2 linked regions of the Lonchura striata genome follow. The main gene of each other region encodes a partner of the protein of the gene in region 2 in a complex. Links are inferred from orthologs where the notes say so. Each region holds a gene or a part of one and is shown on either strand. Other genes may lie near its edges. The genes, in order: SMC2 and NCAPD2.

What was found.
Region 1: NCAPD2 (region 2) and SMC2 share a complex: the UniProt entries of both Homo sapiens proteins name them as parts of the condensin complex. The link is inferred for Lonchura striata from reciprocal best matches to the Homo sapiens genes NCAPD2 and SMC2.

Annotation. Positions count from the first base shown.
Region 1 is NC_134642.1:61,411,144-61,427,170, reverse strand, and holds the start of SMC2 (structural maintenance of chromosomes protein 2), read right to left. Parts: upstream 6,288-16,027; 5' UTR 6,185-6,287; intron 5,701-6,184; 5' UTR 5,626-5,700; coding exon 5,458-5,625; intron 4,566-5,457; coding exon 4,416-4,565; intron 3,841-4,415; coding exon 3,718-3,840; intron 2,793-3,717; coding exon 2,754-2,792; intron 2,574-2,753; coding exon 2,463-2,573; intron 2,271-2,462; coding exon 2,226-2,270; intron 1,769-2,225; coding exon 1,535-1,768; intron 883-1,534; coding exon 733-882; intron 86-732; coding exon 1-85. UniProt on the Homo sapiens protein: Central component of the condensin complex, a complex required for conversion of interphase chromatin into mitotic-like condense chromosomes.
Region 2 is NC_134604.1:29,375,163-29,391,602, reverse strand, and holds the start of NCAPD2 (condensin complex subunit 1), read right to left. Parts: upstream 6,638-16,440; 5' UTR 6,632-6,637; coding exon 6,499-6,631; intron 6,408-6,498; coding exon 6,332-6,407; intron 6,238-6,331; coding exon 6,179-6,237; intron 6,119-6,178; exon of another isoform or gene 5,796-6,118; intron 5,722-5,795; coding exon 5,540-5,721; intron 5,027-5,539; coding exon 4,887-5,026; intron 4,567-4,886; coding exon 4,439-4,566; intron 4,355-4,438; coding exon 4,231-4,354; intron 4,150-4,230; coding exon 4,002-4,149; intron 3,119-4,001; coding exon 2,921-3,118; intron 2,407-2,920; coding exon 2,272-2,406; intron 1,716-2,271; coding exon 1,631-1,715; intron 1,051-1,630; coding exon 873-1,050; intron 669-872; coding exon 547-668; intron 1-546. Other genes in the region: MRPL51 (large ribosomal subunit protein mL51), read left to right, coding at 6,883-7,153, 7,298-7,494; VAMP1 (vesicle-associated membrane protein 1), read left to right, coding at 9,805-9,806, 10,489-10,648, 11,466-11,624, 11,890-11,941. UniProt on the Homo sapiens protein: Regulatory subunit of the condensin complex, a complex required for conversion of interphase chromatin into mitotic-like condense chromosomes.

The sequences.
Region 1 (16,027 bases), on a different chromosome or scaffold from region 2:
CTTTTTCACTTTCTTCCAGTAAAACATTTAGTTCTTTCTCTAGATTCTTTACCTCTTTCTCCTTTGACATTAATGCTTTAGAATCCTTCAGCAAAACAGAAAAAAAAAAAAAAGAGAGAACCTGAGTCTATTACTTTGAAATTCAAGTTCTTTAGCTGAGGAGCAACAAGTAGTTTTTATCATCTAAATTTCTATGACCCTTTGTCAGATTTTGTGATCTAGCAATATGTCTTTGCATGTTTTCAAATGTGTTACTCGCCCCATGAGTGTACTGAATATCTACAGAGAGATGAAACACAGAAAGTGGTAGCAACTGCCAAAGACCTAGAATTATCTCGCTCTTCCCAATACCTAAAAAATGATCCTCCTGCATAACGAAACATTGATTGTCAAAAATATGCAAGGCAGAGATTTCTCATTTAACATTAAGAGTAACAAATATCCAGAAAGCATAGTAGTTTGAAGCTACAGAGACCTCTGCTGAGCTTAAGAAAAAATGTGGAACCACAAGGAGCTGCACTTTATTTGTATTTGCATCACATATTTTTCTAAAGAGAACCTACTACTTATGTTGAAAAAATTAAACAATGCCCTTAATATTTGTCTCTGCTTCTAAATGTAATTCTTGCCAATCACAGGATTCTTTATACCACAACAGGAAAGAAAAAAACAGCTGTTCCCACAATCGGAATTAATTTAGTATGTAAAGAAAATTATATATAAATATCTTACCTTCTGCATACGTGCTACCAATTCCTTATACTTAACCTCTTCACCTTTTAAGTTTTGCTTCTTGAGATCAAGAGCACTTTGTGCTTTTGCATTAACTCTTTGATTTGCTGAAAGAGCAGCTTCTAGTTCTTGGAGTTTACCACCAACTTCCTACAACCAGTAATAAAGGAAATTTAATTTAGCCTGTGACACCAATGCAGTATTTGTAATACTTTGCCTTCTGTTCAGAGCTTTTTGTAGAAGGAAATCTGACCAAGCAGGCAGTAGTGTTCAATACAAACAGGTCAGATCATCTCCCACCTCTGAAATACAACTTAACTAGAACTATTATTGAAGACCCACACCACTCCATAAGATGGGACACTGTCCTTGTACAGAAGGTGGATTTAAACACTAAAGCCTCTATGGGCCATCCTGTATGTCATGAAATTTACTGCCCCCAAAATCAAAGTCAATACTGATTACTGCCAAACAAAACTTTCCTTACTTTTCTTTTGAGACATCAACAAAAAGGGAGAAAAAAGCCTCTGGCAAAACTTACCATTGAATGCATAGAGTAAAAACATGAAGTCAAACAGTTTTTATGTTTCAGTTATTTTTCATTTACATTTCAGACAAAAAAAAAACTTTAAATTGATATCTTCTAGATAAAACCGACAATGAACAATGCATAACCTAAGCTACACACCAGAAGACAAAAATTCAACGGTATACTATCTTTAGAAATAATTCCAGTATCTTAAAATTCTTTGTATGCAGGTATTCAGAGGAGTACAATGTTTATTTTCATTTTTTCATTTACCTTATCCTTTTTCTTTTCCATCTCTGCTATGTGTTCATTAAGCTGTTTTACCTTCTGTTCAATTTCAGCTCTTGATTCCTTAAACTTCTCTACATTAGCTTGCATTTCCTTTAGCATACCAGTGGAGGATATCTTTGTTTCTTCAGCCAGAACAAACTGATAAGCTACACAAAAACGGCTTAAATGTTCTATTTCTCGTACTACTTTTTGGTATTCTAGATATAATGCTCGTTTCTGGACAAAACAAACAAACAAACAAAAAAAGGCACTAAATTTAAATTTTGATGAAAAAACAGAGTTACATAAGGCTACTAGAGAAATCTTGTAAGTACTCCTAAACATCAGTATTTGTAAGTAAGAGGATGGATTCTTCATGTTATTCTCAGCTAAAATAATATTCATATAATAGACTGCACACCAGAAATACCACTTGACTTATTTTTTAAAACTAAGACATTTTAAAATCTATTTTTATCTAGTTCTGTTGTTTTCTTCCTTCTCTCTATATCTCTCTCTAGGATTTCCTGGAAGTCCAAAATGTCACATTCTGTGTACTTGGAAAAATAACAAAATTCTTTCCCTTACAAGACTCTGCAGTACTTGAAAACATGCTATTGTTTTAGCTAAAACTTACTGGTTCAGGGTAGTTGTGAAAGTATTTTTTCAGTATTTGAATCTAATTTTTCCATACCTCTTTCAGTTTCTGCAAAGTTGGACCGATCTCCTCATTTAAGACCTGAAACACATAGCAGAAGATTTATATTTTGATTTTACTGAACTCTAAAATTTAAACATGTATAGGCATGGATATCTAGTTCCAGATGCAGGAACGAAATATTCTAGAATGCTGTACAAAGTCAACATTGAACTAGCTGATCAGTTATCTTTAACAAACATGAATGAAAGTCTACTTTACAACACATAGTACCATTTGAATGTTTTTCAGTTTGAATTCCTTCTTCTCTATGGTTTTCTGGACAGTTATTTTCTTGCACTCGTACATCCTAGTTCCAGCTGCTTCTTCAATCATAGCTAAAATCTAAAATAAAGCAATGCAAAAAACTTTGATGTTTCGTCTTATGTTAGATTGGTTCAATTAAGCTGAATGTCTCATCTCTCCCCAATTTTTATTTTTGTTGTCCCCCTCCCAACATGTTTATTCTTGTTATTCAAATCAGTTCAATAACTTTAGACAAAAACACTCCCACAACTTTCCTACCTCTGGTGGCTTCATATTTAAAACTTTGGTAATTTTTCCCTGGTAACAGAAACATAAATCAAGATCAGTGGTTGTGTATCATGAAGTAGTAAAAAGAAAAACCAAAACCCCAAACCTCCATTCACTTTTACACATTGTATATAAGTTCAAGCACTTTTAAGTTTGGTTTTTTTTTTTTTTTTTGCTACAAGAATAATCTAGTTTACTCAGTTGTTTTGCTCTTCAAAGTTCAAATAAGTCACTCTTTCAGGTAATATATTTGAAGTGGCCCTTTACAATGTATCTTAGGCTAATCTTCCACAGTTCTTACTACATCTTAAAGGAGTAATTCAAATATTTTTCCTAGAGTCTTACTGGGTTTCTGATGTTGAATAAGCTCCTAATCATAAACCAGCTTTATTGGTCATGTAGCTCATACATAACAGGTAGAAAGAGAGTATGTACAAAACTGTTCCTCACTTTGGCATCCACTTGGAACAGTTACCTTTGAATCAATAAATCCTCTGTTTTATTATTCCTTGCAAATATTTCAGGGATTTGCCTAGTCCCTTACAGTCCTCCCAATTTGTCAACTTTCTTTTGATAATTTTGACTTAAGAAGGTACATATCTCAACCTCATTCAAGGTGCTGTCTAACATGGGAGCACAAATAATAGCAAATAAAACCCACCATTTTATAATATTTATAAAAGCAATACCTAGCTGTTAAGAAGAAAAAAAAATAAAATGGGAATATATTTCGGAAAAGTTTTGCTAACATGAGGGCCGCATGAGGTCTTGTGCTACAAGATGTGTTTTAGGGTCAAACTATGCTGTACTGGAAATATTAATGACTTAACAGACTTCATTTTTTCTTGGTAAAATGACACTCTAATTAGGAATTAATTATTTTCCTACTATCTCCCCATCTTAAATTTAGTACAAGTCCTACTCTTTCTGGATTTTATAAAGATGCACACAATACCTGCATAATGAGGAAATGAGGATTATTGACATTCAGTCCAATGGAACAGAATAAATCCTGCACACGACTGTTGGCAGCATTCACACCATTGATAAGATACTTACTTCTACCTCCTACAGCAACCTAGAGAACAAAGACAAAAAAACTGCTTGGTGTTGTGAGAATATAAACTGCAATAAAGAACAAAAAAATCTGAGCAAATCACACTTGTTATATTTTTGCATATGTATGTATGTACAAACTGTGCAGAACATCAAAACAGAACTTGTTTGACATCGAAAATATTTAACTAAAATATAAGATTAGTCATTGAGGAAAATACTGTCAAGAAACCTTCCAAAAACTCTACGTTAAAAAAAAATAATCAAAAAGTAATCAAAACCCAAAACCCAACATCTTCACCAGAAAAATAAAGGTTCCTTCGCTATTGGAGGCCAAATTTAACACAGAGTTCAGATATTAAGAAGAAAGATATGAAAGCAGTAAAAGCCGCAAGGTAGAAAATTTTAACTTGCTTTATGAACATTTCTAGCTCGTACACTGGTACAGTTTTTCTAACTAACTACACTATAAAAGCAACATAGAAACCTTGCCTCTACTGCAGAAACTCAGAAAATCACCCCCTTTTTCCCTGCCCACTCATGAGCATGGTAAAAATGTAAATAGGTTATGAAAAAATACAGATATTAAAGGCTTACCTGCCTAGTCACAGTGATCTCATCATTAGCTTCAAATCCCAGTGGACTTTGACTTTTGTTTGAATTATCAAAGTTAATAGACACAGTTGCTTTTGTAATTCCAGCTTGCCCACTCTTATAAATTAGATCATGGAAGTTGCAAGCTCGCACCTAAGTTCAGGGAACAGATAAATACTTTTTTGAAAGAAATTAACATTTTAATTGTAATACTGTAGGTCTTGGAGAAATCAATATAAAAACCAAAGATCTAGCTGCATATTTGAGTTCATGTGAACTGGCACACGGGAGCTGCAAGGTGCTATCATTGTGAAACTACAGTGTGTGCCAGTCTAGTTTTACTTATCCAGATAACTGTTTCTGCATGAGGCTCCTGAAAAACACTGAATACATCTGTAAAAAAAGCCAGCTGACAGTAAATTTATTTAACAAACACTTATTTTTCACAATGCAGTTCACAGGAAAATGATTCAGAAAATGTTCCTTAGAGGGCTGCCTGCTTTGTCAACAGCTGGGGGAAGGTAGGGATGGGAAAGAAAGCAAATTTAAAAATCATCTTCAGACAGAGATTGAAACTGATGTCAAAGCACATATATTTTAGTAAAAATAAAGCAGATATATTATCACTTAAATAATAAGCATTGTATGAAAATCACTTTTAAATCTTTTTCTGATGAACCAGGTAGCCAGATTTTAAGACTTAATCCAGAACTGAAAACATTTATTACAAATTAGTAAATTAGTGCCTGTAGATGCAAAAAGGACCTTTAGCTTGAAGCTGTTAGCTTTTAAGTGGTTATTTTTAGTCTATATTGTTTTAAGCCACATACTTGTGTAACTGTGGTACGTGGATGAAGTTGTAACTCAACATAAGGCTGAGCAACAATGATAGAGACCCAGATTAATGCAATGAAATATCGAAATAATGAAAATATTTCTTTCAAAGACACACCATGTCAGGTCTTCCGTGGGAGGTTACTCACTAGAGTAACGTTAAAAGTTGCTAACAGAAGAAAGACTTTTCTTAAATGTCCTATCTCTTTACCTGTGACAGATTGCTGATTCCCAGCACAAAACAGATGGAGTCCAAGATATTGGATTTGCCACTACCATTCAAGCCAGTAATGGCATTGAATAGCGGGTCAAAGTTACTAATTTCCGTCCTCTGAGCATAGGATTTAAAACCTTCAAGAACAATTGACTTAATGTACATCTTCCCAATGCTCCCAAAAGGTATTCCAGGCCAAGTATTCCTCTGAGCACTGAGAAAGGTATCCGGAGTATAATCCTATACACATCAAAGAAAAAAAATAATCAAATGAATGATACTGCCAAACAAACAACTAGACCCGAGGAAATGAAAGAACGCATGCCTTTTACAACAAAAGTATAATACATTTATAAACTAAAAAAGCCAAGTAAACCACAGATCCAGGCAGTATCCCAACTGCACTTCGGCATTTCTAAGGGACTTTACGCACAGTTTATCAGAACACTCGGCTATAGACTCGCGGCAAAGCCACGGTTTGTCGCAAAGCGACACGGCGCGGTCTCCCTCTCCCGCTTGCGGAATTGCCGTACCTGTCCAGCCTCACCGCCCGCGAGGGACGAATCCCGGGAAGCGGCAGCCCGGGCTCCGAGCGAGGACCCAGCAGAGCCCCATCCCCACCGCTGCCGCCCGCGGCCCTGCTCCAGCGAGCCCTCCCTGCCGCCTCTGGCGCCGCATCGGCCGTGCGAGGCCTGCTTCCCTTCCCGGCCCCTCGCCCGCTCACCCCCGTGCAGGGCTGTCCCTCGATGCCAGCGCCTCACTCGCTCCTCCGCACCCGCTCCGCGCCGCCCGCCACGATCAAATTTTGGCGCCGACCGCTGCGACCGTTAGGGGCGGCGCCTGATGGCGGCCACGCCGCGCCCTCAGCGCGGCCGGCCCGCCCCACCCCGGCGGAGCGGGCGCAGCGGGGGCGCCTGGCCGGTGCCGGGGGCGCCTGGCCGGTGCCGGGGGCGCCTGGCCGGTGCCGGGGGCGCCTGGCCGGTGCCGGGGGCGCCTGGCCGGGAGGGACGGCGCGCACCGGGCGCAGAAAGGCGGGCGCGGCTAGGAAAGGGCTCCTCCGGCTCTGACGGGGGCGGAAAGTGGCGGGTGGCGGCCCATGGCGGGGAGGACGGCCGGGCGCCCGTGAGGGAGATGGGGGTGGGCGGGAAGGCGCTTGGTAAGTTCGTGGTGAGTTCTGCAGCGCGGCTGAGGAGCTTGAGCGTTAGCTCCGGGCTGCGGCGGGAAGTGGCTTTGTCCTCCCTGAAATTACATCAAAATCAAAGAAGTGCTGTTCTATACTTCCTACACGCATTCCTACTATGCCACCCCTAACCCACTCCCTCCTCCCCAAAGAATAAAAAAAAAAAACCCAAGCGCTATTTATGCCTGTTCAAATCTATTATTGTAATTTATACAGACATGCTTCCATTCGAGCAGAATAAGGAGAGCTTGTTCAAAACGTGAGTACGTGTCATTGGAAGAAAGGTAGCTGTCTGTCCATTGCTGCGCTGCTCAAAGCAGGAAGGCAAAGTCGGCTGGATGCATTTACTCGTTTCTGAGCTTGCTTTTGTCGTGCTGTGTAGGTAGACCAGGACTTTGCAGCTGCACAGCGTTACTGTTGAGGTCTGCTGTAAAACTTTGTGCCCTGGACTACTGAGTTTGATGTTATTTCAGTAATTCGAAATAATTCAGACTGAAGGTCTACATTGCATTAGGGAAGAAAAATATAGTGCATTTGCTTGCTGCACGAATTATATTGGATGCAGCTGTTTAAGGCATTAGCGTGACAGCACTGCTGCTGGAGCTACTGTAGCCAGAAGTACTTGATGGTCCCTTATCTGCAGTTCACTTGCTTACATCTGGAACCTATATTGGGAAAAACTATTTTTAATTTGGACAAGAGTCAGATTGATACTGTGTAACTATGCAGCCCACTCTTTATTTAGCAAACTGAAAATGCTCCCAAATTATTTTTGAATTTACCTTCTGTGGCAAACATACTGGAGTGTTTCTTGCCTGCAGGAAAGTTCCTGGTTTGTTTCTGTTAGAGGTGGCTGCTTGGACTACACTGAAGGTGGCACCTGGTTGTTCTTCAAATGGCCAAAGTCCTTCTCAATGTGTGGTTGATGGAGCTGGCAGCTGGGGACCTAGTACTGTACCTGCTCCGCCTGCTCCTTTTCCATCCAGATTAACCACAGCCTGAAATAAGGAAATAGTAATAAAGCAGAACCAATTCTGATGTGAGAGGCTTCATCATAGGAAGACAGCCATGTTTGTCCCCATTTACATATGATGTGGGAAAGAAAAATAATTTCTTAAGTATTAAGAAATAAGTTCTTAAGTAGATCTGTAATAGCTTTGATGTCACAAGGCTTAAATTTGAGTGCTTCATTTTAAGGAATATAAATCCGGTTGTAGATATTTAACATGCAGTTAGCACCTTGGAGCGAATATAACACATGGTTTGAGCAAGGAAAATATATTTTTAGCAGCTGGCTATCTAGGAATGGTTTTATTATTGTTATAAGAACTTTATCGAACTTCAGGGAAGCAAAATTCCAGCTGTTCAATGTGCTAGTCAGTAGAATCCTGTGCAAAACTGCCTTTTTTACAAGAGGTGACATATTTTTCAGGACACCTTCCATAGAACACAAGAGCTAGTGATGCCCAGTCACAAGAAATTGGGTAAGGAAGGCAAGAAATCAGCATGAGTGAGTCAAACAAAAAGGCAAGAGGGACATGCGGAGGCAGTGGAAGCAGACACAGATATCTGGGAAGAATACAGGGAGTCTGATTATGTAGGGATGGGCTGAGGAAGGCCAGGGGGCATCTGGAGCTGAACTTGACAAGGAATGCTAAGAATAACAACAAGGGTTTCTACAGGTATGTTACTTTGACAGAAGAAGTCAAAGAAAGTGTACACACACATACCACTGTGGGAAATGCAAGGCTGGCAAACAGGTAGCAGTGAATGAGAAAACTGAGGTACTCAACAAATTTTTTGCCTGTCTTCAATGGCAAACCACCTCTCTTCCCACACCCTTCAACAGGACTGGAGTAGCAAAGTGTTTCCTGCTGTAAGTGAAGGTCTAGTGGTGGGATTGCATCTGTGAAAAATGCCATCCTAGGAGTCCCAGTGTCATGATAAAGAAGCTATCTTTCAGTGACATATGACACCTGACAGATCTGCCTCTTGCCAGTGATCAACACTGATCAAATGAATGATACTGATCAAATGAATGATGACTGTGAATTCTGACTGAGATATTTCCTATGTTCTGTAAATCTGAGTGTTCATCTAGCCCTACCTCAGAGACAAACTGGTGAGTTAAACTTGTCCCTAAATTGGAGGATGTCCAACAGAGGACAAAGTCCAGTTGGCAGCCCACTATTAGCCATAATTTTTGATATCTTTATGAAAGATGTAGACAGTCATGACCTGGAAGAGCAGAATCTTTTCCCCACTACCCTGAACTTGGATCCAACTGCATCCAGTGTTCTCAGTTCCCTAGTAGAAGAAAGTCACTGACACACATGAACAAATCCAGAGTAGGGTCACCAAGATGATGAAGGAAAATCAAGAGAGAAATGGCTTTGTTCAGTTTCCAGAAACAAAAGCTATTGTTTCTGCTGCCTTCTTTAGCTGCTTAGCAAGACAGTTTTAAGAGAATGGAACCCACCTCATCTGAGGGGAATGCATGGTAAGAGATGATAAATGTTGTTTGCTAAACAGTATTTTCCAGTGGCGCATGGAGAGTCCTGAGATTTCCCCCTGCCAAGCCATGTCAAGGTCAGATATTAGAACAGGTTGCCTGAAGAGATTGTGAAATCTTTATCTTTCAAAAGTAATACAGCTTCGCATGTCTGTGTACAATCTGATCTGTACTTCCACTCTTAAAATTTGTTTCCTTGGACTCTTGTTGACATACCTCTTCTGTTATGAACAAAACAGCCTGGCTGGGACACTTGGCTCGACCTAAGTACTGACATTGAAATGTTAATTAGCTAATCGCCCCTGGGAATCACCTACACCCCCACCCAAACTAGGACTAGGATGCAAAATAAGCCAGTGGAATCATGGGAGGGGGTTTTGGGGATGAAAAACACCCCAAAATGAAAAAGAGGGGCACAGTGGAGGGGGCTGGATGGGTGTGTTGGTTGGGGAAAAGGGACCCCATCCCTAGTCTATGTTTAACCTGTCACTATAACCTGCAGAGGATCAGATTGGACTGGGCTGTGGGAAGCAGGCACAAGGAATCAGACACTCTACCTGGTGTTACCAGGAGGGAAGGAGAGGGATAGCTGCTGCGGGATCTCAGCAGCAGGCTCTGCACATCCCCCCACCCTTCGGCTACCAGTGTGCCAGGAGAAAAAGAGAGAGGACGCTCTGCTGATCGGGACTTCAGATACAGACTGGACACCTCTTCACCTCTGGCTACCAGTGTGCCACGGAGACTCCAGGGACAGACTCTGTACGCCTTCTCGCCCTTCAGCTACCGGAAGAAGCTACAAACACCCCCCCTGCCGAGCTGACTTTTTAATAAAGAGTTGAACACTAATAAAGGCATAAAACCTGTTCATTTCATCTTCTTTTTTTCCTCATGTCCCTTTAATTTTTAATTTATCTGTCTTTTAAATATTATAAGATAAAAGGTAACAGATACCAGATCAGATGTATGTATATGCTAAGCAGGCCGGAGCAGCGGGTTTCTGTCTTGAGGGAGAAGTTGGTTGTGCATGTTTCAAGCAGGAACTTGTTCAGTGATGAAGCTACCCTTGTTATATTACAGAAATTGAAAGCATCAGCTCGAATTTTGTCACTTCCCTTCTGAGTTCACTTAGTCATGATGTTGCAAGAGATCTGTACACTGCAAGGGGGTGTTTAACATTTGTAGAAATCTATGCTTTTAAGAACCCAAAGCTTTCTTTGGCAGTTGTAAAATCAAGCAGATTAAACATTTCTCTCTGTGGGGCAGTACTGGCCTGTTGTTGCAAATCTAAGAAGTGAAACTGGGCTACATGGGGTGTCTCTACAGTTTTGGTAAAATTTTGCATTTACTGATGCTACAACATATGTTTCAACATTTAAGTAAGGCAGAAGTAATAAAAGTGCCTAAAAGGAAATTTAGGGTGCCATGCAGTGACTAGGAAAGCACAGCAGGCCCTTTAAGAAACTTCAGCTTTTTTTGTCAGCCCACATCAACTGCTGTGCCCCACAGAACTGCTAAAATTGGAAAAAATACCTTTTAGATCATCAAGTCCAACCTAGCATCACCATGTTCACCAGTAAATGAATGTAGTTTGTCCATGTAGTAGACATGGTCTCAAGTACCATATCCAGATGTTTTTTGAACACTTCCAGGTATGGTGATTCCACTCGTTCCTTGGGCAGCATGTTCCAATGCTTTACAGCCCTTTCTGTGAAGAATATTTTCATAGCATCTATACTAAATCTTCCTTGGTTCAGTGTAAGCTCATTTCCTCTCATCCTGTTCCTTGGAGACAGGCCCCACCTGGCTACAGCCTCCTTTCAGATAGTTGTAGACAGTGATAAGGTCTTACTTTATGCCCAGTTTCTGAGAGTGAATGCAGCTGACCTATTTGATGATATTGATGATATTGATGGTGTTAACTTCCCTTTTCACTTCATTGTGTGAACTTGCTCCTTTGAACCTCTGATGGAATTGTGACCTGATAACAAAGTACAGGGTGGCACATTTAGCAGAGTGAAAACTAGTCACCTTCAGTCTCTGACCTTCTTCCAAGATTAGATAGTATTGCATAAGTAAGTGTAGTTGCAGCTTTATTGTTTCAAAATGCAGTGTCATGCTTGCATAGATATTTGCGGTATGGTCTCTGACAAAAGTAGCATGGGAGTAGTTTGCTTTTACTTGTTTCTTACCACGGGAAAAAAAAAAGTACCGTTGAAAAGGCATTGTAAGAACTAAGCCAGAGGGGAAGAACAAGTAATTTTTTGCTAAAGCGAGTAGGAATGTAGGAGTTGAGTCCATATTCACTCCCAGGTAATTGGTAATCCTTGTATGTGTATGGGATGTCCTGAGGTAGCCTCTGGATTACTACTCCCTTGGCAGTATCTATGCCAAGAAGTCCTTTTATGTTAGTTTGGGAGGTTTTTTGTGGGTTGGTTTTTTTTGTTGTTTGTTTGCTTGTTTTAGTTTGTTTGTTTTGGGGGTTTTTTAAGGTATTTGTCTCTTATGCTACCACTTTGCTTTGAAATGCTGCAGAAGACTAATAAATTAGATCTGGGGAAAAAAAAAAAAAAGATTATGATTGCCAGCAAAACTTTGCTGTTGTGGTGATGGGTGAATTTCTCCTTAGAACCAATCTACAAATTAATTGTCTGAGATACACTTTACTCAACTTTTAATCATACCCTTTTCTTCCAATGTGGGTGTGAGCATAGGTGTAACTGCTTCAGAATGGAGATAAAAGTGCCACAATCATATCTGCAAACTGTGGTTGCCAGGAAGAAGAGTTGTTAAACGAACCCAAAATTTGAATTTAACTAATGTAATTGACAGGTTTCAAAAAGGATTTTGTCCTCAAGGTTAGATTTGGGCAAGTCCAGGCTAGGAAATTATACCACACCACTCAGGAATAACAACTAAGGTTATTTAAGAAAAGTAAACTTTTCTAATTTGACTCATGTTGTCTTGAAAGCTTTACTGCTTTTCTGCTTTAATGTGATGGTTCCCAGATTTCAGCTATCACCGTTAGGTCTTCAGTGTATTGAAACTATTTCAGTTTTCTCAGACTTGTCTGTTCTCTTCTTTTCTCGTTGCTAGTATGTATTATGGTATTCCAGTTTTCACCTCTTCCTCCTTCTTTTCCATTTTCCCCTGAATTGTGAACATCCTTACTCATGCTGATTTTGGGGACTGAGCTATGATTACCTGTGTGAAGGTGCTTTGTTTTCACTTTCAGCCCTGCTGCAGTTTGCAGCAGTGAATACAGGTGGGATCTTTGCTTTGTTACATACATTGTTAGTGCAAAAAGCCAAGACTTCCCAATTCATTACCTCTTTCCTTGATAGTCTTTATTATTTGATAACTTGATGGGCTAGACCACAGGCAAGGAGGGTTTGAAGGACATCAATGACATCAAGAATAAATGCTGTCTTGGACATAAATTTCAGCAAAGGCTTTGATGGTTCTTTTGTAAGAAAATCAAGCAGAAGTGCATCACTTTATTTTTAAAGGTGTCTTCTTATCACTCTCTGTGCTGTTCCTTCTCAAGTTATCATAGCAGTCTCTTTACTGTAATGATTATAATGGTCTATGAAACACTTTATACAGAAAACACACAGAAGTGAAACAAAGAGTTTTAAATCTACTATCAAAAAGCTGTTAGAGGAATGTTCCTAATAACAATTTTGAGTCAAAATTTGGAACATATTTGGAATTTATTTGCAGAGACCTGTTCAAAAAACCAACAATTTTCAGGCATTTATATACACTATAATATTCAAGATTTTTTATTGACACTCTGAAAAATCTGCCTTACTTATTGCATCAAAATATATATGGTTTGTTTCTTTTAAGTACTTCCAGAACATTTAATCTCTTTTTTTTTTTTTTTATGGATAACCCAAGTTTTATCCAGCTAAACAGTGCTTTATTAAACTTACTGTCCTGGTTGGACAATTCCTATTGATTAAGTTTTCTGGAGTATTCTCAACTATGAAATAGGTCCCTTACTGCATCTGCACCTGTACTAGTCAAGTTTTCTGGGATGTACAGACCTTTTGACTCCTTATCTTTCTTTTTCTGTGACTTCTAATTAATCTCTAGTTAATTGATAACCATTGAATAATTCTTTATTAAATTTTGTTCTTTATTGATTAGATTGTCTAAGAGGTATGGGTTCATGGAGTTCCTTTCTGCAGTTGCAGTGACGTAATTTCTCAGGGTCTTCTTCTGGCATTCAGCCAACACAAATCTAAATCAAAATCAGCTAAAATCTCAGTCAGACTTTTTTTTAACTAATCAAATGTAGTTCATTACAAAATTTTTTTAAAATCACATAACTCCTGGTTAACTAAGATACAACCATCAAAATAAATGTATTATACAAATCTACTGACATTGAAAACAAAGTAGTATTACAGTTTACAAGAGCAGGTTACTGTTCTTGGAATTGAAACTGTGGCTATGACATACTTAGTCCAGTAAGATTTAGCTGGAACTCATAAGTGTTTTATCACTGCTGTTTATCCTTTGGAGTTATTTAATATGCTTAAGCAGTGTAGTCCTTATGACTTCTTATGATTTTGTATCTAAACATACAAAATCGTCTTGATTTGTTAACCTGGAAATCAGTTTGTGGATCCATTTAATCAAGTATGCACCTCTGTTTTCTGTTTGGTTTGGGGTTCTTTGCTTTATGACCTACAGCAAACTCTCCTAGCATTGAAGTGGATGTAATGAAGCAAAATCATTTTCAGGAGAGAAAAGATAAATAGTAGACAGAAAATTTGTCCTCCTTCCAAAATTAGGCTTAAATATAATAAAAAACGGTATAGTGAAATTAGTGTTTCAATATTGTTCCTAGGCAGGATCATTGCTCTGCAGAAAAAACCCCGTGTATTCCAAAAAGTAGAGATCTTTGATAAGAAGGTGAGGATTCGTGTGAATAGGAGATCTGGGAGTAGAAGCACCCGAAGAAACTACGGAAAAGAAATGGCCAGTACTATGGCACGTAGATTTGCGGATCGTCATGATGACAGCAGGTGTGAATCGGCCAGGTAGGGAAAACAAAGGACAGCCTGAAGCAAGTAACAAGTTCTTAGTTCTGTACTCAGACGTGAAGACTCAAGCTACTAAGATAGGATAGGGGAAAGTAAAGCACAGGGCTGGTGCCTTGCAGGCATACAGAGAACAGAGACAAAAATCGGTATTGATGATTCACAAACACGTGACAAGATGGAAGACAAAGTAATTTCTGAATCACTGGTGGCTCCCCCGGGATACAAATGGCGCATCACTGAATGCTGTCGGTCTGGACAGCATCTCTTTGTCCCTGGTCATTCTTGGTTGGAGCACTTGGATACCTATCTAAATGCAGGGCACACAGTTAGGACAAATCCTTCTCAATGCCTGTGAGTGTAAGCTAGTGAGTGGGATCAGTTTTGTGTTTCTCTAAACTCAGCTTTTGCTCTTGTAAACATGTTTTCTGTTTTTGTTGTCGCTGCAGTGTCATGGTATCTTTTGTTACAGCCAAACACTGTTGACACCAAAGTAAATACATAAAGCAGTAGAAACAAAAGCTGGCCCACTTACCTACTGTGGGGTACTTCGATTTTGATGATAGTTCATTTTGTGAAAGGTGATTTCCCCAGCACACACTTCTGGTGCAGGAAGCCTTAACTTGTGTTTCTTTGTCATTGAGGAACATGGAATATCTCTGTTTCATCGCAGAAAGTTGTCGAGGGCTGATTAGTTTCTGGATTTGGTGACTTACTCTTTTATCTAAATAGTGGAGAGCTTGACCTGTTCTCCCTGATCTTTGCATGTGCATCCTTAAACACATTTTGCTTTTTTTCCACTCAGGTCCTTGCTACTAATTAGCACTTCAGTCTTCATGGGTTTTGTAGCTGAACACATTGCTATATATTGTTTTTTTTCACACTTTTCACCCTTCATATTATACTTGTGCGTTTTCAGAAAAAGAACAAAAGCTGAAGATGGTCCCCTGCACAAAGTTTTCTCTCTTGCTACATACCTCATTGCAACATCGTCGGGGCAAAATGCCAACATTTGCTATTGTTTCTTAAGGTGGCTCACACATAGAGGCTTAGCCACACAAGCTCTCCTTGTGCAGGGAACAGTGAACATGTCAGGGCACACACCATGAGTGGAGAATGTATTTGCTGTGTTAAAGTATGAATTGAGCAATGAAATGGACATTGATTTTTAATTATTTTTGCACAGAAGTAGAACTATTAAGAATTTCAGGACTGGATAGGTAAAATGTAATTTGAAGAAACTCCTTTTAGATGGATAGTCTTGTCTTGCAGTATTTTGTGGGTTCTAGAACCATGGATTTTATGCAATTTAGCATTGCGTGCTTTACAACGTGCCTGTGCAACTGGCTGGACACTGAACTGGGCAGATTTGAAAGGTTGAGCTTAAATCTTAACTGCAAAATGGTGAATCACAGTGGGTGTGCCTTAGGCTGTGTTTACCTACTTCCTGGGAAGTGTACTGAGGGTGGTACCTACCAACAGCAGACATTTTCATCTTTTATAAGTGTGTGTGACTGAAGGAGGCCAGCCACTGACTCTGCAGATGCAGAAGACCCAGTTTTTTTCTTGACTTGTCAGCAGAAGACCCAGTCTTCATCTGCCTGCTCTAAGTATAAGCTTCTCTTTCTTTTTTCTTGTTGATTCACTTAGGTGTAAGAAGGGAAGAGGACCTATGAGGATTGAATTAATGCAAGTAATTTGTTCGTTTCTGTCTTGTACAGAAAATGTATGGTAGCAGTGTGCTTCCAATTCCAAGATCCAGTCTTCACAACTGGAGAAGTGTTTTCTTTCAATGAGCATCACAGAAAGAACTCTTACTTACCT
Region 2 (16,440 bases):
GTGCAAGTGTGGAGAGTTCACAAAGTAAAGATTTTTAGACAGTAGACTTCCAACAAAAATATCCTCAACATGATTGGCTAAACAACTTGATGCAGAAACAAACACCAAAGAGTGTGAAGTCTTGAAAATACACCCAGAGGCTCAGGCCCCAGATAACCAAGACTCTGCTTGAACCAGATACTTGGTCAAGGCTGCTAGGGGTAAGCATTATGTACCACTACCTGCTCAGGAAGCAGAACTGACAAATTCAGACAGGGCAGAAGGGTGTGAGCAGCAACACTGCCTTCACTTCCTTCAGACAATATGTGAGTTAAGGCACCAAAAATGCACTTCTACTGGGACCATGGAACTGTTCCAGCCAAAAATTAAGATCAGTATGATCCAGCTAAAATGCCAAGGTACTTGAACAGTGAATAATACAGTGATGCTGCAGTTCTGGGAGAGCTGAGCCCCAGAGGTCAGAAAGAGGGACAGAGCATTCCAGAGGGCTTTAATCTGCTCTGGCATTATCTTGGACTTGGGGTACAGACAGAGTGATACAGTTACCTATGTAAAGTCTCTTCAGAACAGCCAGGATTGTTGCCTCCTCGTTTTCCTCCCCAGGGCTAATGAAAGGTTCCTTTCCCTGGAAGCGACACAGGGCCTTCTGTGTAAGACAGGCTGCGCTCCTGGACAATGACATTGCCCAAGAGAGTATCAGCAACACATCAGAGCAGAACATAAGGGAAACCATCCAACTTTGCCCTGAACACCTGGGAAAGCAGCTCCTATCAGCATCTTGTACTGTCTGCCCACATCAATCTCTTCCTACAGAGTAATGTTACCGGAAATCACCCTGTGGGATAAACACTGTCACCGCAGAGCCTTCTTACTTGTAATTCAGCTTCTTCAACAGACCAGTGATTTGCTCCACTGTCCTCTCCACTGTTTCTTCAACTTCCAGCACCTCCTCTTCCTCTTCCTCCAGTGGCTGAAAGAGCTGCTGTGTGGCAGCCCTAACTTCTGGCAGCATCGCTTCCCACTCTTCCTCTGGGATGATCACTGGAGCTACTTATAAAACAGAAGTATTGAAGAACACAGACTCAGGTGACACCTTTAATGGGAAGGAAAAACTCATCTGGAATTTAGGAACTTCCCCTACCTCCTCCCCAGGCAGGTAGTGTTCCCACTGCTGATCCCACCCAGACTGCAGTGAGAATAAGAACTCTGACTAAAACAAATAAACCACTGAAGGCAGAAAAAAAGACAGGTAAGAAAACTGTCATTTTTTTAACCTTGGGCTTTGGTACTGCCTACAAATCAAGTTTAAATAACATCTGAGCAAAATCATGACTCAAGCAGTCCTTGAAAAAAAGAGAAACCTGGGAGGGTGTTCATTGACATTTTCAGTTCTTAGCCTGAAAATAGGACATATAGCTGTAAGGACTGTTGATTTAGACATGGATATTAATATGATCCTTTTACAACACCGCCATAAGGAAAACTGTTGTGAGTTTAATCCCAGTTATCTGGTCTCACCATCTCACTCAAGATGTGAGACAAAACCTGTCACAACCTGGGAGCAAATTTAATGAGGAAAAGTACATTCTGGACTGTCCCAGAAAGTGGAAAGAAGAAGAAAGGAAATTACCTGCTGAGGGTCTGCTACGATCCCTCATTTCTTTCAGTTTCTGCACTTCTTTCTTCAGTGGCCCATCCAAGTCAGTCCAGCTTAGCTGAAGATGTCAGGAAGAGAAAAAGAAATATGTTAGTTATCCTCATTTTCCTGAAATGCCAGAATTCTCCTATCTCTTCCACTCCCTGCTTTAGTTGTCAATCTCCATGGATAACCCTGTTTACGGAAACTGGAAGAGTAGACTCTGGCCCCAGTCCCAGAATGAGAACTGCTCTAAGTTGCTCACTAAGGCTCAGAAACTCAGGAGAAGGTGCAGCTAAACACAAAGAGCTGCAGATCCACGAAGAATATTCTAAAAAACTAATCTTGATCCTAAGGAGAGAAACCTCACAGTGGACTCAAAAATGCTGCAGGTTTTTACCTCAATCACATCCTTCCTGGCCTTCATCATAGCTATGAATTTCACCAATAGAGGGGCGAGTCAAAGAACTCAAAATCTGAACCTGGGAAGACCAGAAAGCTGCCACCTGCAGTATCAAAGGCTACACCGTTCCTCCCACAAGACATAGCAATGCTACTGCCCTGGCTATAGCACCCTGCAGATATTTAGCCTGCAAAGAGACATCTAACATATCCACCACATGAATTGGATTTACCTTGCTGGAGAAGGGGTTATTGGACAAAAATGCAGCCAGGAGCTGGATTGCATTTTTAACCACTAAGACAGATTTGTCTTTGAGCCGCCCAACAGCCAACGACACCACAGACTGAAACTGAGTCAAAGGCAGGGCCTAGAACACAACAAGAGCACAGATAAAGTTATCAAGAAGGCTCAGACACTTGGGAAGAGTTTACTGCAGACATATTAATGTACTAAAAAGCACAGATTATGTATTTACAGAAAAGTCTAGGGCTCAAAAGACCTCCTGATATATTCTGGTCCAAACTTCCCTGAAAGCAAGGATTTAGGTTATCCAGGATCCTGTTGAGCTGAGTCTTAGTATATCTGGTAATTGTGATGTTCTCCCATACCAGTGTGTGAAAAGAGGCTGTATGCTATGCTCTTTCTTCTAGTTTGTCCTGGTAAGAATGAGCAGTATCTAATTTTCACCCCCAGTTCTCCCACCCCTGAGATCTTTGGTCTCTTGGAAGAAACTGCAGACACCACAGTATAGAGGGACAGCACCTTTCTCTGTTAAAACTTCAATCTCTGCAAACAAAAAGCAGAGTGGCAGAAATTCCCTCAAGACACACAAGATGGGAAGAGATGACTGAGGCGACGCCATTTGCCCAGCACAGACTTGCCTTGCTCTGCACGATGCGAGTGAAGAGCTGCAGCACGCGGCTGCGCACAAAGCTGTGCACGTCACACATGTGGGCCTGCAGCATGTCCAGAAACTTGTCCCGAGTACCACGGGCAGCTTCCTCCAGCTGGTCACCACTCAGCACCTGCACCAGCACTTCTGCCATAGCTCCCAGAATGGCATTTCGCATCATGTAACTCTGCCAAGACAGGAGTTGTTGAACTAGGAGCAGACCAAAAGACATGATTTGATATGCCCAGAGTGTGGGCCTTCCAAATCCCAGGCTCCAGCCCTAAGTGAATTTTTTCAGCATGGATATTGAATTAAGTTTGGGTGAACATAGCTGTGCATGCAAGACAGAGTAACCTTTGCTATGAAGACAGGCTGAGAGTTGGTCTTGTGCAGCCTGGAAAAGAGAAGGCTCTGGGGGAGGCACCTCCCAGGACCTAAAGAGGGCTGTGAGAGAGCAGGAGAGAGACTTTTTACCAGGGCATTCAGTGATAGGGCAAGAAAGAATGGCCTCAAAGTGAAGGTAGGTTTAGATTAGATATGAGGAAGAAATTCTTTACTGAGACTGTGGTGAGACACTTGAATAGGTTGCCCTGAGAAGCTGTGGATGCCCCATCCCTAGAACTGTTCAAGGCCAGGTTGGATGGGGCTTTGAGCAACCTGGTCTAGTGGAGAGTGTCCCTAACCATGGCAGAGGTGTTAAGGTCCCTTCCAACCCAAATCCTCCTATCCAGGTAGGCTCATAGAAGCCAAGAACTGACACAAGAAACACAGCAGATAAAAGGTAACACAATGACAAACTCATTAAGTGCTGAAGAACAAGGGACAACAGCAGGGACATCACACGAGTAGGCAGTCTGCTGTTCTCTTGACATCTGATAGTGACAACCAGACAGGAGATGCCATGGTTTCTGTTCCCTTTGCATCTTTTAGGTAAGGGCAAAATCTAATCCAACAGAGCAGGTATTGGATACCTGAGCTCTGTGGAAGAGGTTCTGTATCAGACAGAAAAACTGGATAGCAGCATCTCTACTGTTAGACTTTTCTGGACAGGTAACTTTGCAGAAATGTACCTCCCCATCCAAGTGAGGCAGGAGAACACTCATGTTGGAGAGCACCAGAGCTGGAATCTGTTCAGCCAGTTCACTTATAAAAGTAGCATAACCCTTGACTCCAGAAGACTCACGAGCCAAATCCTGGGGACATTTCTGTCCAATTTCCCTGTACAGAAAGATGAAACAAGGAATGGGGTGCCTCAAGTTGCTAGGGATAAAAGGACAAGCCTCCAAGTATTTCTCTCACCTTAGCAGCTCACCCACCAGGCTTTTTAGACCATACTCTTTAGCCCAGAGGCTCACCGCCTGTGCAAACACTGGGGCTACATGTTCAAAGTGCTGTAGCATCTGCGTGATCTTCAGAGTGGCACCTTTAACACGTGAGAAGGAAGAAAGAGGTCAGGGAAAGTAACTGGGAATGTCTTCAGGAAGAAGGCAGAAGGGCAGGAACTCACTGAACATGTGGTCACAGTGAACCAGAGCTGCAGCAAGCAGATGTGTCAGAGCCTCCCGCGTGACCCGGTACCTCTGAAGGCCAATACTTGGATTCTCCAGGATACGGTAGCAGCTTCCCGTTATTAAGCTAAACCCACAGAAGACAAACAGCAAACCTCACTATCTCAGCTTGCATAAATATCATTCTAGCCCACCACACATTTCTGTTTGAGAGATTCTCTAATGCTCTCTAAAAATTAGGAAGCATCTGAATTTTTTGTGGCCTACAGGAGGAGAGAAAGTGGTTTCTATACATGTTGCTTTTGCCTTGAGCTATTTCCTCAGCCTCCCAGTGATCTGCACCCCACAGAGGGCTGTAATACCATCTCATTGGTAGAGTTATCATTTAACCTTTTATCCCTCAGAACCAGTTACTCATTCCAGCAATACACCTGCTCCAACTCATACCTGACAAACTCTTCTTCCACTGTTAAAGCACCCCAAAGCTGACGGAGATCCAGCTGCAGCAGCTGTGTAAGCAGCTGTAAAAGTGGCTCCCTCTCCTCTTCCCACAAGGATCCAGAAGTCTTGGCATGGTTCTTCCTGCTCTAGAAAGGAGATTACGCAGTGAGATACATCAGCAGCTTCACAACAGACAAAACTCTGTCACTACCCTGCTTCCTTCCAAATATAAGAAATCTATTATAGCATTAAGAGACACACAATGAGATTTGTGAGATCACAGGGGGTTTCCCCCTCACCAGTTTTTCTCTCTTAGCTCAGGCCAGCACCAGTGCCTTGCATGGTTTAAGGATTATATGTGCATCCGCTGCCACTACAGAAAGGAAATCTTACGAAAATACTGGCATACTACATTCAAACCAGAAAATGAAGAATGAAATAGAAAGGCCAGGGCATCCAAATCCCTGCTGATATTTAGACACATGATTGTCCTTTGGCTGTTTTTCATGCAGTTTCAGAGAAGCACCAGTGCTCCACATGCTCTTGCTGGCATCATGCTTATATAAACTCAGCTATAAATCTGACAGATACTACAGAGTTCAGCAAGCTTAAAATTTTATTCTGACTTTTATCACCTTTCCCCCAGTCTCTTGACCTACCTTCCTACCAGGATCTGCCTCCATACAACTGTTCTTGCAGGTTTCCATTTCAAAAGCATCCATCAGGCCAGTCAGCAAATAGCAGTTCATCTTAAGAGCATTGAGGTGAGCAGCACGGTCTGCCTGGCTCAGCCCAGAGTCGCTCAGGATGGCAGGAAGATCACTGGAATGATGGGACACCACTGAGGAGAAGCAGAAAGTCATGAGCACTCCTTGCCAGGTCCCTCAGCAATTCTCTCTTTGGGAGGTTCGGAGCAGCCATCAGATTACCAAAGATGTGTGCTCACATCTCACCAGCTGTAACACGGGCTGCCCCCTGCAACCCAGTCCTTGGGCGTGCTGTCTTGTCCTGTCCCCACAGCCCTCCGTCAGCTCGGAGAAACACTCGCTCTGAGCTGATAGGTCCCACAGACCTATTTTCCAGGGACACAGGCAAGAGGATTTAATGTCGGTCTGCCCTTACAGCGAACGTGCACAACTCAGCATCGTCCACCAAGATTACAGACCCGTATGACAGGAGTGGGCTGAGGGTGCAGCCCAGCTGGCCGAGTCACATTAGCCTTTATATCATCATTGAGCCGCCAAGGGAGAACAACCTCTCCGTTAGTCCTGCGTCGGCCGGAAACAGCGGGTACCCACCGTGCATCATCAGCTCCAGGGCATCCTCCTTGACAGCCGTGCCCACGGTTCCGAAGTGGCTGCGGGACAAACACGGGGCGTGAGGCGGCGGGCAAGGCGCGCCTGGCAGAGGGCCGAGCGCCCGCCCGCCGCCCCGTCCGTGCCCGTACTCACTGCAGCACGCTGTACACGCAGTCGAAGTGCTGCAGCACGGCCAGCGCGCCCTGCGCACGGAAGGCGGCCCGGAAAGCTGCGGCAAAACACGGAGAGAGGCGGGGGGATGGCCGTGAGCCGGCGGCAGGGCCGGGCCGGACCGGGAAGGGGATGTGGGGACACCTTACCGGCGAGTGCGGGCGGCAGCTCGCGGGCGGACAGCACCTCCCGCACCACGTAGCGCCCGGGGCCGCCATCCCGCAGCAGATCGGCGGGAGCGAGGGGCAGGCAGAACTCCGGGGCCGCCGCCATGGCCGCCATGGCCGCCACAGCCCCGCACGGCCCCGGGCGCTCGAAACAGCGCGCGCGAACCGCGCCAGCCCCGCCCCTTCCCGCCACGGGCCTATCAGCGCCCGCCGGCTGCGCCGCGCGCCGGCCCCTCGCCCAATCGCCGGCTCCCCTGCCCTCCCGACCGTTGGCGTGACGTCACGCGCGCGCCCCGGCGCTCCGCGGCGGAAGGGGCGGCCCGGCCGCTGCTCCCGTCCCGTCCCCGGGGCTCCGGGGTCATCCCCATGGCGGCGGCGGCAACGCTGCTGCTGCGAGCGGCGGGCCGGGCCCTGCTGGGCCGTGCCGCTCCCCTGCCGTGCGCCCAGCGGGGCTTTAGCGACTGCGGCGGGGCGCGCTGGGCGCCCGCGCGGCCCGGCCTCCCCGTGCCGCTGTCCTCGCCCCTGGCGGGGCTCTCCCGGCCCATCCGCATCAAGGAGCCGCCCAAGCGCAAGCCGGTGGATCGGTGGACGAAGAAACGGGCTTTGTTCGGGGTGTATGACAACGTGGGGATCCTGGGTAAGACACGCACCGCCCCGGGGCAGGAGGGGAGGGAGGCTGGACTCGCCTCTGCCGGCAGCCATAGGGCAGGGAGGATTTGGGCCGGCCGCCCTGGAACAGCCTTCTCCAGTGCCTGGCTTCATCTGTCTCTCCTGTTCTCAGGCGGCTTCCAGATCCACCCGAAGAGTCTCATCATGGGGCCCACTTGGCTGCGCGGCTGGCGGGGGAACGAGCTGCAGAGGTGCATCCGCAAGAAGCGGATGGTGGGCGACCGCATGTTTGCAGAGGACTATCACAAACTCAGCAAGAGGATCCGGTACCTGTACAAGCGCTTCAATCGCACTGGAAAGCACCGCTAGGGAACAGAAGTGGCTTCAGCCTGTGGAGTGGAATTTTGTGGCATTGCAGTTAGAATAAAGCCAGCTTCCACACAGTTGAATTCCCAGTGCTTTCTACAACCTTTGCTGCCTATTTCTACCCAGGTCCCAAGGGCCTGCTGCTTCTCCAGGCCTGAGCTCCTCTGTGCCCCCTCAGTCATTTCTGACGTACTTCTTGCGGGCATCTATTCCAGCCTGCATCCCTGAACTTGACCCTCTGCTCCTCTGTTTTTTAGGCCAGGCTTCTGGCATCCTTTCAGTCTCTGAGCTCCAGCTTCACACATCTACAATGACAATTCCAGTATTCTTCAACTCAGATTTTTCCTCATAGCCAAATTTTTCAAATTAGTACCATGAAGTCCTGCTAATGTGTCTTCCTGCTCATGGCTTTCCCCCTTGCCCTCCACTCGTGTGTGGTTAAGTGTGAATGATCCAAATGTTAGTTAAAATGCATCAAAACTTGTCTTAAGAATGGGATTTGTCTCATTCCACACTCATGATGACCTTAGGCCCTGCTAATAACATTTAATGACCAAATAGTTTTTTGTTTATAATTTAGGCAGGATTTGCAAAAGTAAATCAGGTATTTAAATGTTTTTTAAATCTCTAGTTTTCTGTAACTGTTGCCAGTTCCTTTAGAGGAGAAGTTACAGTGAGTCACAGCTGGCATCCCTGTAGTGCAACATCACACAACTGTACACGTAGGGAAAATCCATTACATGAACAGGCATTTGCATACAAATTCTGCCTTAGTTGTTAATTTAGCTGCTAAGTAATCAGGGAGTTATCTTCTTACTTGATGTATCTTGCTGCAGAGCAATGCTGCTCTGTCTCCAAAAGCATTTGGTTGGAAGCAGCTAGGAATGAATGGAAAGGATTTTCTTTAGGCATAAGACTGAGGAAAGTGAAGGCAAACTCTCTGTTTAAACAGCTCAAGTCCACATTCTCAGTAGCAGGGTGACAGATCTGTCAAAAGGTGGTGTGAATTCAAGAAACTTGCACAGATCCAAGTGGAGACTGAGCAGGTATAGCAAGTCCTTGCCCAAAAATAATGTTGGAAACTGGAAAAGTATCAAGAGAAAGTATCTTGTACCATTTTTCATCTCTTAATCCCTAAGCACCAACCTGGCAAAAGCTCTGAGGACACTAATTCCATAAGCTCAAACTTATTTGCAGTGGTTATTGGAATGGTCCTCAGACTGCAGTGGAAAGGCTGCCAGGCTACAGAAGCTTCTTCCTCAACTTGCCCCTTCTGTCTGCAGGCAGAGTGTAAAAACCTGGAGTTGTGAGGTCAGTGCTAGTCTGCTCCTATCTGCAAATCACCTGTCTCTAGTCACAATGCTGCATTATTCTTCACCTTGCAACCACGATCTTCTAGTTACCCTGCTGTAATCTGCAACATACCTGGTTTTGTCTACCTGATAATCTGTGATATCTGACACTAAAATCTTAGGTGACAATCCTGCATCGCCTTAAGGAAGGAAAAGGTAGTGTAAATGTGAGCCTACACTTGTCACTCTCTACTCACCACGTAAAATTCTGTATGAAGAGTCTTCTTGTTCTGGGACACTCCTGTCCCCTTTCTTGTCCTGAGTTGGAAAATCTCCCCTTCTGATCCAGCAGGCTTCTCCAGATATTTAGACAGAAAAACCCCATATTGTTCTTAGGGCTGCTGCGGGAGCCTCATTTCTCCCAGTAGGCTGCAGAAGCTTGACTGGGACTTGTTCAGCTTCGCTTTCATGACGCGCTGTATGCTGGAAGTGGGCCAGCGACACCATCTCTTAATTGCAAGGGCAGCGGCTTAACCGGAGCCAACAGACACACTGCGGAGATGGGATTTCGGGAGGCTCCAAAAGGAAACCTGAACGGGGCAGGTAACCACGACCGGGCCCTGCGTGACCTGCCCGGAGCGCGGCGGAGGCGCTCGGGGCCGGCAGTGCCGCGGCGGGCCGTGGGTCGGGAGCGGAGCCGCGCGAGCCCCCGGCGCCCCGGGCACCGCGGGGCCGCCGCAGGGGCGGGGCCGGGCGCGGGGCGCTGCTCCCATTGGGCAGCTCCGCGGCGGGGCGGGGCCTGTCCCGCGGCGGTCTGGGGGCGGGGCTAACATTACGGCCGTTTCCGTAGCGCGCGGCGCTGATTGGCTGAGGAAGAACCCGGGGAGGTGCCGAGCAACTTTTGATTGGCTGCTGGCCCCGTGGGCGGGGCCCGCCTGTATAAGTGCGGGGTCCGGGGGCGCGGGGGGCTGTCGGTGCGGAGCTCCGTTCGCGGCGTGCCCAGGTCCTGCCCGGCCCGGCCATGTGAGTGTCCGCCCGGCCGGCAGCGAGCTGCGGTGGGCGCGGCGCGGGGGTGGTGGCTGCAGCGTGGGGGTGGTGGCTGCAGCGTGGGGACGGGGGTCAGTGCAGAGCCCGCGTCCTGGCCGGCGGCGGTGGGGTCGGGTGGCGCATTGCAGCAGCCGCAGGGAGGGCTGCCCGCACCGCCCCCGGGCGGTCCTGCTCCCCCGCTGACTGCGTGGTGAGTGGGTGCGTGGGCCGTGCCCCAGTGGTGATGTGCGGAGCCCCAGCGGGAGCAAACCTGGCCGGCGGCTACCGCTGCGCCCAGCCAGGTGGCTGCGCGGTCCCCCCGGGATGTCCCCGCTCTGTCTCCCCGTCCCTCTTCCCTCACCTTCCTGCCCCGTATCCTGGTCACATCCATGCGGCCAGCTCGCTGTTCCCCCTGGGAGGCCACAGCGCTTGGCGCGACCGCACCCGCAAGCCCCTTTGACGGGATGCTTGTTCCGTTCCCGCTGCCCCCTTGGGCTTGCCCCTGCTTTGGGCTCTCCCACGAGCCCGCCTGCTCCCGATCCTGTGGGATCCAGCGAGGCTGCAGCTCCCGACGCTGCTGCCAGCGCTGCTGCAGCCTGGGGACACTGGGGTTCGTGTGGGTCTGGGGGCGTTCTCGAGCGGCTGAGTTTTCTCTTGGCTGATGTGTGTGTTCCCGTAGGTCTGACCCAGCTCAGCAGCCTGCTCCCGGGGCTCCCGAGGGAGGGGCTCCCGAGGGAGGCGCTCCCGAGGGGGCAGCCCCCGGCGGGGGTCCCCCCGGGGCTCCCCCCAATCTGACCAGCAATCGCCGCCTGCAGCAGACACAGGCCCAAGTGCAGGAGGTCAGTAGCTCTGCCAGCCCTGATGGTGCCTGGGCGCTCTCCCACTGCTCTGCAGCAGCGATGTTCTTAACCGGTGTCTCTCACTGAGGGGGTGGCTCTTTTGTCATGCCAAAGCCAGAACTTAATTAATGCTCTCTACTCAAAAATAGTGGCAAACCTATTAAAGAAGCTGGAGGAGAGAATGCTTTACGTTTAAAAGCCTCTCAATGCCAGATATGACTACCAAGGACCAGGCTTGCTAGATTCTTTTGGTACATCGTTATCGCGCATCTCTTATGGGAGTAAAGCTGTACAGCATCCAGGACAGCTCTTAGTCCCTGCGGGCTGCTCCGAGGGAACGCTGTGTGCAGTGATGAGGGGGAATCCCTGCCTGGCTTCCCGGGATCAAAGCCGGTGGTTGGCTGCTGCCGCGCAGTAGCGCCTTTGTGCCTCGCCGGGGCAGCAGCACGAAGCGCATAAAGCAATTTTGCAGCTCTCGGGGGGTGAGCGAGCGCACGACTCCTCTCATAAGCAGGGTGGCTTTGGCTTGCTGCTGGAATGGAGAGCTCTTAAAAGCAGATGAGAATGTGAAGCTGAGGACCTGACTGAAGTGTACTGGAACTCATGTTTTAACAGTGACTCTCGGATTTTTTTTTTCCCATTTTAAAGTAGGCACTGACTTGAAATGACTTCTTTCTCTACCCTGATCTTCCCCTCCCCCTTGTTCATGTTTTTTGTTCGTTAGTATTGCAACATCAGTTATTGGCTAAGTTTTTTCCTCTTAGGGTTTCAGCTGTCTTTGCCAATACAGCTGCTCCCACTATTGTTCCTTCTGCAGGTGGTTGATATAATGTGTGTAAATGTAGACAAGGTGCTGCAGCGAGACGAGAAGCTGTCAGAGCTGGATGACCGGGCAGATGCACTTCAGGCCGGTGCCTCAGTGTTTGAAAGCAGCGCAGCCAAACTCAAAAGGAAGTACTGGTGGAAGAACTGCAAGGTGAGTTTCCTAGTGCCCTAATCTTCTTGGCAGGAGGGAACTGGGCTACTCCTCTCCTGCAGAGCTTTCAAGTATAAGCTGGAGCTTACTAACAATTTCAAATGCTTAAGATTCTTTCACTATGGGAAGGCCTTGAGGCTTTGGCTGCCATGCCTTTGGAACTTGGCATAGGTTCCCTGGCTGTCAGGAAGGATGGGAGCTTTATTTAATGTCTATTTTTTTTAATCTGTTCTGAGTATTGCTCTTGGACAATCTTTTTCTTCAGATGATGATCATGATGGGAGTGATTGGTGCCCTTGTGGTGGTGGTGATTGCAAGTAAGTACCAAAAACCTCAGACTCAAAGGTGAGGAAACACCAGCTCTAGAGTACTTTAAACTTTTCCTTTTTGTTTTGAGATCTTGAGGGTCTTAGTTGCATAAGTGTCAACTCCAGTCTTTGGGAAAGGGAGGTAGAAGTGCTGGAAATCCCTCACTTAGTGTGGAAATGGTATGCTTTACCTAGTAATATGAGGAATGGGGAATGCCATCATTGTAGGAATGGGAAATTCTGCCTGCCAGGTCAGATAAACCTGTAAGTATGAGGGGCATTTACCCTGGAGTGGGTGGGTTGGCAAGTTCCTTTCTTGGTGGGTGGTTTGGAGCTCTCTGAGGGACCATTGGTGTAACTTGCCCTTTTGTTCTTTCCTTTTTCCTATTGCTTTGTCTCCAGTCTACTTTTTTACTTAAATATAGCTCCTTCAGTCTGCGACCTCCTGTCCTCTATTACCATGCCTGTCTCTTCTTGCCTCTGAATTTTTCCTTTCCTTTCACCTAGCTTCTTCATTGATTTCCTTATTGGTTTTAATTTATCTTCTGTACAGGGCTCTGAGCTGCTTACTAAACATAGGTAGAGTTTTCAATAGCTGCTGCAGCTTTAGGGAGCGTCCTCTAAGTTTAGAGGAAAGGGAAGCTGAGGAAGAGTGGGTAGCCATTTGCTCCTGCTCTTCTGCAGAGAACTTTTTGTGTTTATTTTTGGGTGTAAGCTTGTCAAATAGTGCCTGTGTGAACTCTAGCAAAATAAGAATGCCTTAACACAGTGCCTTGTGGGATGAAGGACTTCAGCGTGTGAGAGCCTTTAGTGTTCTGCCTAAAAAGAGTGGTAGCATGACTTGAGCTTTTCACTGAGCTTCTGAAATAAAAGCTAGTTTGTGTTGGCCAGTGGCTGTGAGCCATTTAAGCTACACGTAGTGATGTAGGTTTCTCTAGCCATGGAGAGGTGAGCACTCAAAGAAATGATTGATTCTGCCTGTCCTTATTTCCAGGTGACTTGCTGCCTGAACATGGCCATTTCAGTTTTTATAAAGGAGGCCCTACATGATTACCTCAGTCAAGTGCAACAGGCTAAACACAGTTAAGTGAAAGGGGCATTGCTATTATCAAAAAGGCATGTGTGGGAGTAAAGTGTCTCTCCACAAGGAACAAGTGAACAACAATTAGTCTGGTGGGGAGTGTCAAATATGCCTTTCATCTATGCACACACAAGCCAGGACCCTGTAGCTTCCTATTGTCTTGTAGCTTTCCAGAAAGAAGACTTTGGAGAAGTGGCAGGATGGGAATTGGTGTTTTGCTCTTGTGTGACAGTGTTGAACATTGAGGAAACTCACTGCCATAGCAGATAGAGCTGAAGGGGGCTGGAGGTATTGTAGATGAGACTGAATGACCTGCCCAGCTTTCTGATTAGATCAGAATCTGATTATATCAGATTCTGATACAGCTATCTGCTCTGTGTCTGCTGCCACAAAACCCTAACTTTCAGCAGGAGCTAGAAAACATTTGAAATGGTTAGATGGGGATTTAAAGGGAAATGGTGGACTGGGCAAGGATATTGCAAAGTGACATCAGATGTCCCATATTGGCAACTTAATGCCTCTAGAGATCTTGCTGATCAAACTGAATCCTCCTACTTGCTCTGGGTTCTCTTGAATTTAGGTCCAGGGTGGTCTCTGATGGAAGTAAACTTGTGGCTGTGGCTTTCTGTGAGTGATTCCCTTGTTCTTCACCATCAAAAGTAACAAGAGCTGTGAGTTGTTTGAATGGGTTGTCAGACGTGGGTTAAATGAGCTGCCCTGTTTCTGTAGAGTCTTCCGAGGAATGTGTATCTTGTCTTTCAACTTTTTATAACAAGTTGAGCTGTGGCCTGTAATCTAGACTGGAAAGAGGGTACTCCATTAGTTTAGAAAGCTCTGCCTCTGTTCCAGAATGCTCTGGGATTTGTTTAGGCCTAAGGGGAGGCAGGGAGGACATCACTGGAGTTCCCAGATAGGAGCAAAGTACAAAAGATGGGAGGAGCAGATGCTTCTTGTATCACTGGATGTGCTGGGGGAAGCCCCTTTCTGCCTCCCAGGGCCCCTGGCAAGGGGCTAGGTTTTGCATGCTCACTTCCATGCCCCAGCATTTTCATTTGAGTTCATCTCCCTGCAATTCCATTCCTCTCCACCTTGGGGAGGGCAGAGATGAAGATCTGGAGTGAAGCATCCCTCGTCCCCTGAGCACTTCCCTAATTCCCTGTGGAACTGAGATGGGATGGACGGTCAGAAGTGCATCTACTGAAGAGGAGCCAGGGCCTGCTTGTGCCACCTACTGCTCTCATTTTAGGGGGTAGGCTTTTACAAGCTTGAGGCCCCCAGACCAGCAATTCTCTTGAACTCTTCTAAACAAGCCTTTGGTGCCCCATTCCTCCTGTCTTTCTGGGAGCTGAGGTCCCCCTAGGCTGTCTCTTTCATTTCTTTCTCTTGGATGTTGTATGTTGCCTCCTCCTCTGCTCCCTTTCCCCTCCTTTGTGTCTCTGTGCATGGGCAAAACAAATCACCAAGGCCCTCTTAGTAAAAGCAAGGGACTCTGCTGCCCACAGCATCACAGCCACTCGTGCACGTGCAGTTTATTTATTTCCTCTATAAACACAACTGTAATCTCCTCTGGCATGTTCTAGAAATCAGCTCATGTACTTTTAATGGTCTCTAAGAAACACAATTTACCACCTTACTGAGTCTGTCTGGTCTGTCAGTGAGTGGGAAGGGGTTGGGATGCCAAACTGCTGGATTTTTTTTTTTTTTTTTGGTGAATTCCATAGCATGCACATACCTGAATTTCTGTCCCTCAAAGCAGTGGCTGTTTTCCCATTGTAAAATGATGGTGGTTCCAGCTGTGCTGGACTGACTCTGGTAAGTCTGTAACAAAATGTGAGAACCAGCAGCTCTGGGGAAAGAGGCTGCCCAAGCAAGTCTCCTGTCAGCCACCAAATGTCCAGCCACTATCCTGTTCAGGGGACTGCCTTCTGTGTGTTAGTGGCAGCTCTGGCTCTCAGGCTGTGCTGCTTTTAGATTTCAATAACCTCAGATCCTGAAACCCAGGGAACAATTCTCCATTGGTGTTGGAATGTAAGTTCAGAACACAAATGAAGACCTCCAAGAGTAGGATGCTGTATCTTGGAGCATGACTGGAATAAAGGTAAGTGCCCCTTTGTTTTGCTTCACTGTACATTTGAAACTCATTAAAAGGAAATGACAGAGCTTTGTCCAGTGCAGACTTCTTTTAAAATTAGATACTTGTAGCCTTACTGCTACAAAAGCTAGGTTCTTCCCTGTGGCTTCTGGTTCCCTTATGATCAATCAGTGTCCAGTCTTAAACATCACCAAAATCACACCAGAACAGTGAACACACCAGAACAACTCTCAATGGTGAATTTGGAGCAAGGCAGCAGACTAATTCTTCAGAGATGGAAGCCCTTCTGGGAAAGGAGGGTGTCTGGACTGGCTGGTGGATTACAGCAGCATGTACAGTCTAAAATTCCACACAGTTCAGGCCTGCACAACCTGAACGAACGAGTTATGCTACAATTCCTGCCAAGTTTTGTGTTGTGTTCCTGTCAGTTCTCAGCCTCGCTCATGGAGGGGCATAGGGAAGATGATTTCACAGGACAGATGCATTTTTGGACTGTTGATAATGCAGTGTCCAAGTCCCCAGCCAAAGCTGGGGATTGAATGCTCGTTTTCCAAAGCTGGCAGCTGCCCTGGAACACAGAGCTGGGGCTGAACTTAGTGCTGAAAGTTGCCCCAGGGTTGAGCCCAGTTAATGAGTCATGTTGTGGCTGTTTGCAAAGACTTGCATGTCTAGCTATAAATCCTCTGAAAATATCATGTTCTACTGAAAGCTCTTCTGGGGTGCCATCCTTATGTACATCAGCGTTTCTGCTGCTCCTCTAGTCTCTTATTCCAGACAAAACAGGGTTTTAAATGTTCTCCAAAAGCAAGGCCAAGGCTTTGGGAGAATAGTTCTTTATATGTCTAATTAAAAATTCAAACTCTGCCTTTAAACACGGAACATGCTTAACTTGCCTTTGGATGGGAACAGATTGCCCAGAGAAGCTGTGGATGCTCCATCTCTGGAGATACCCAGAGCTGGGTTGGCTGGGCCTTTGAGCAACCTGGGCTAGTGGAAGGTGTCCCTCTCTGTGGGAGGGAGTTGGAGCTAAAATCATCATTTAAGGTCTCTTCCAACCCAAACCATTCTGTGCAAAATGCAGCTCCCATATCAACTGCTTCATCCTGACATCTTCAGATGTGGTGGAAAAGCCTCAACTGTACTGCTCCAAAATGGATAGACCCTAAACCTTCATATCTCTAGATGCCTGAGGCATTGCTCTGGCCTTTCCTGAGGTGTCTCTGCGCTGGTCAAGGCCAGGTGCAGGCTCTCATCAGTGGTGGGGTTTGTTGTCTCAGCTGGAGAGCAACCAAATGATGGTGGGGAAGACAGATTTTTCTTCAGAGCTGGAATGCA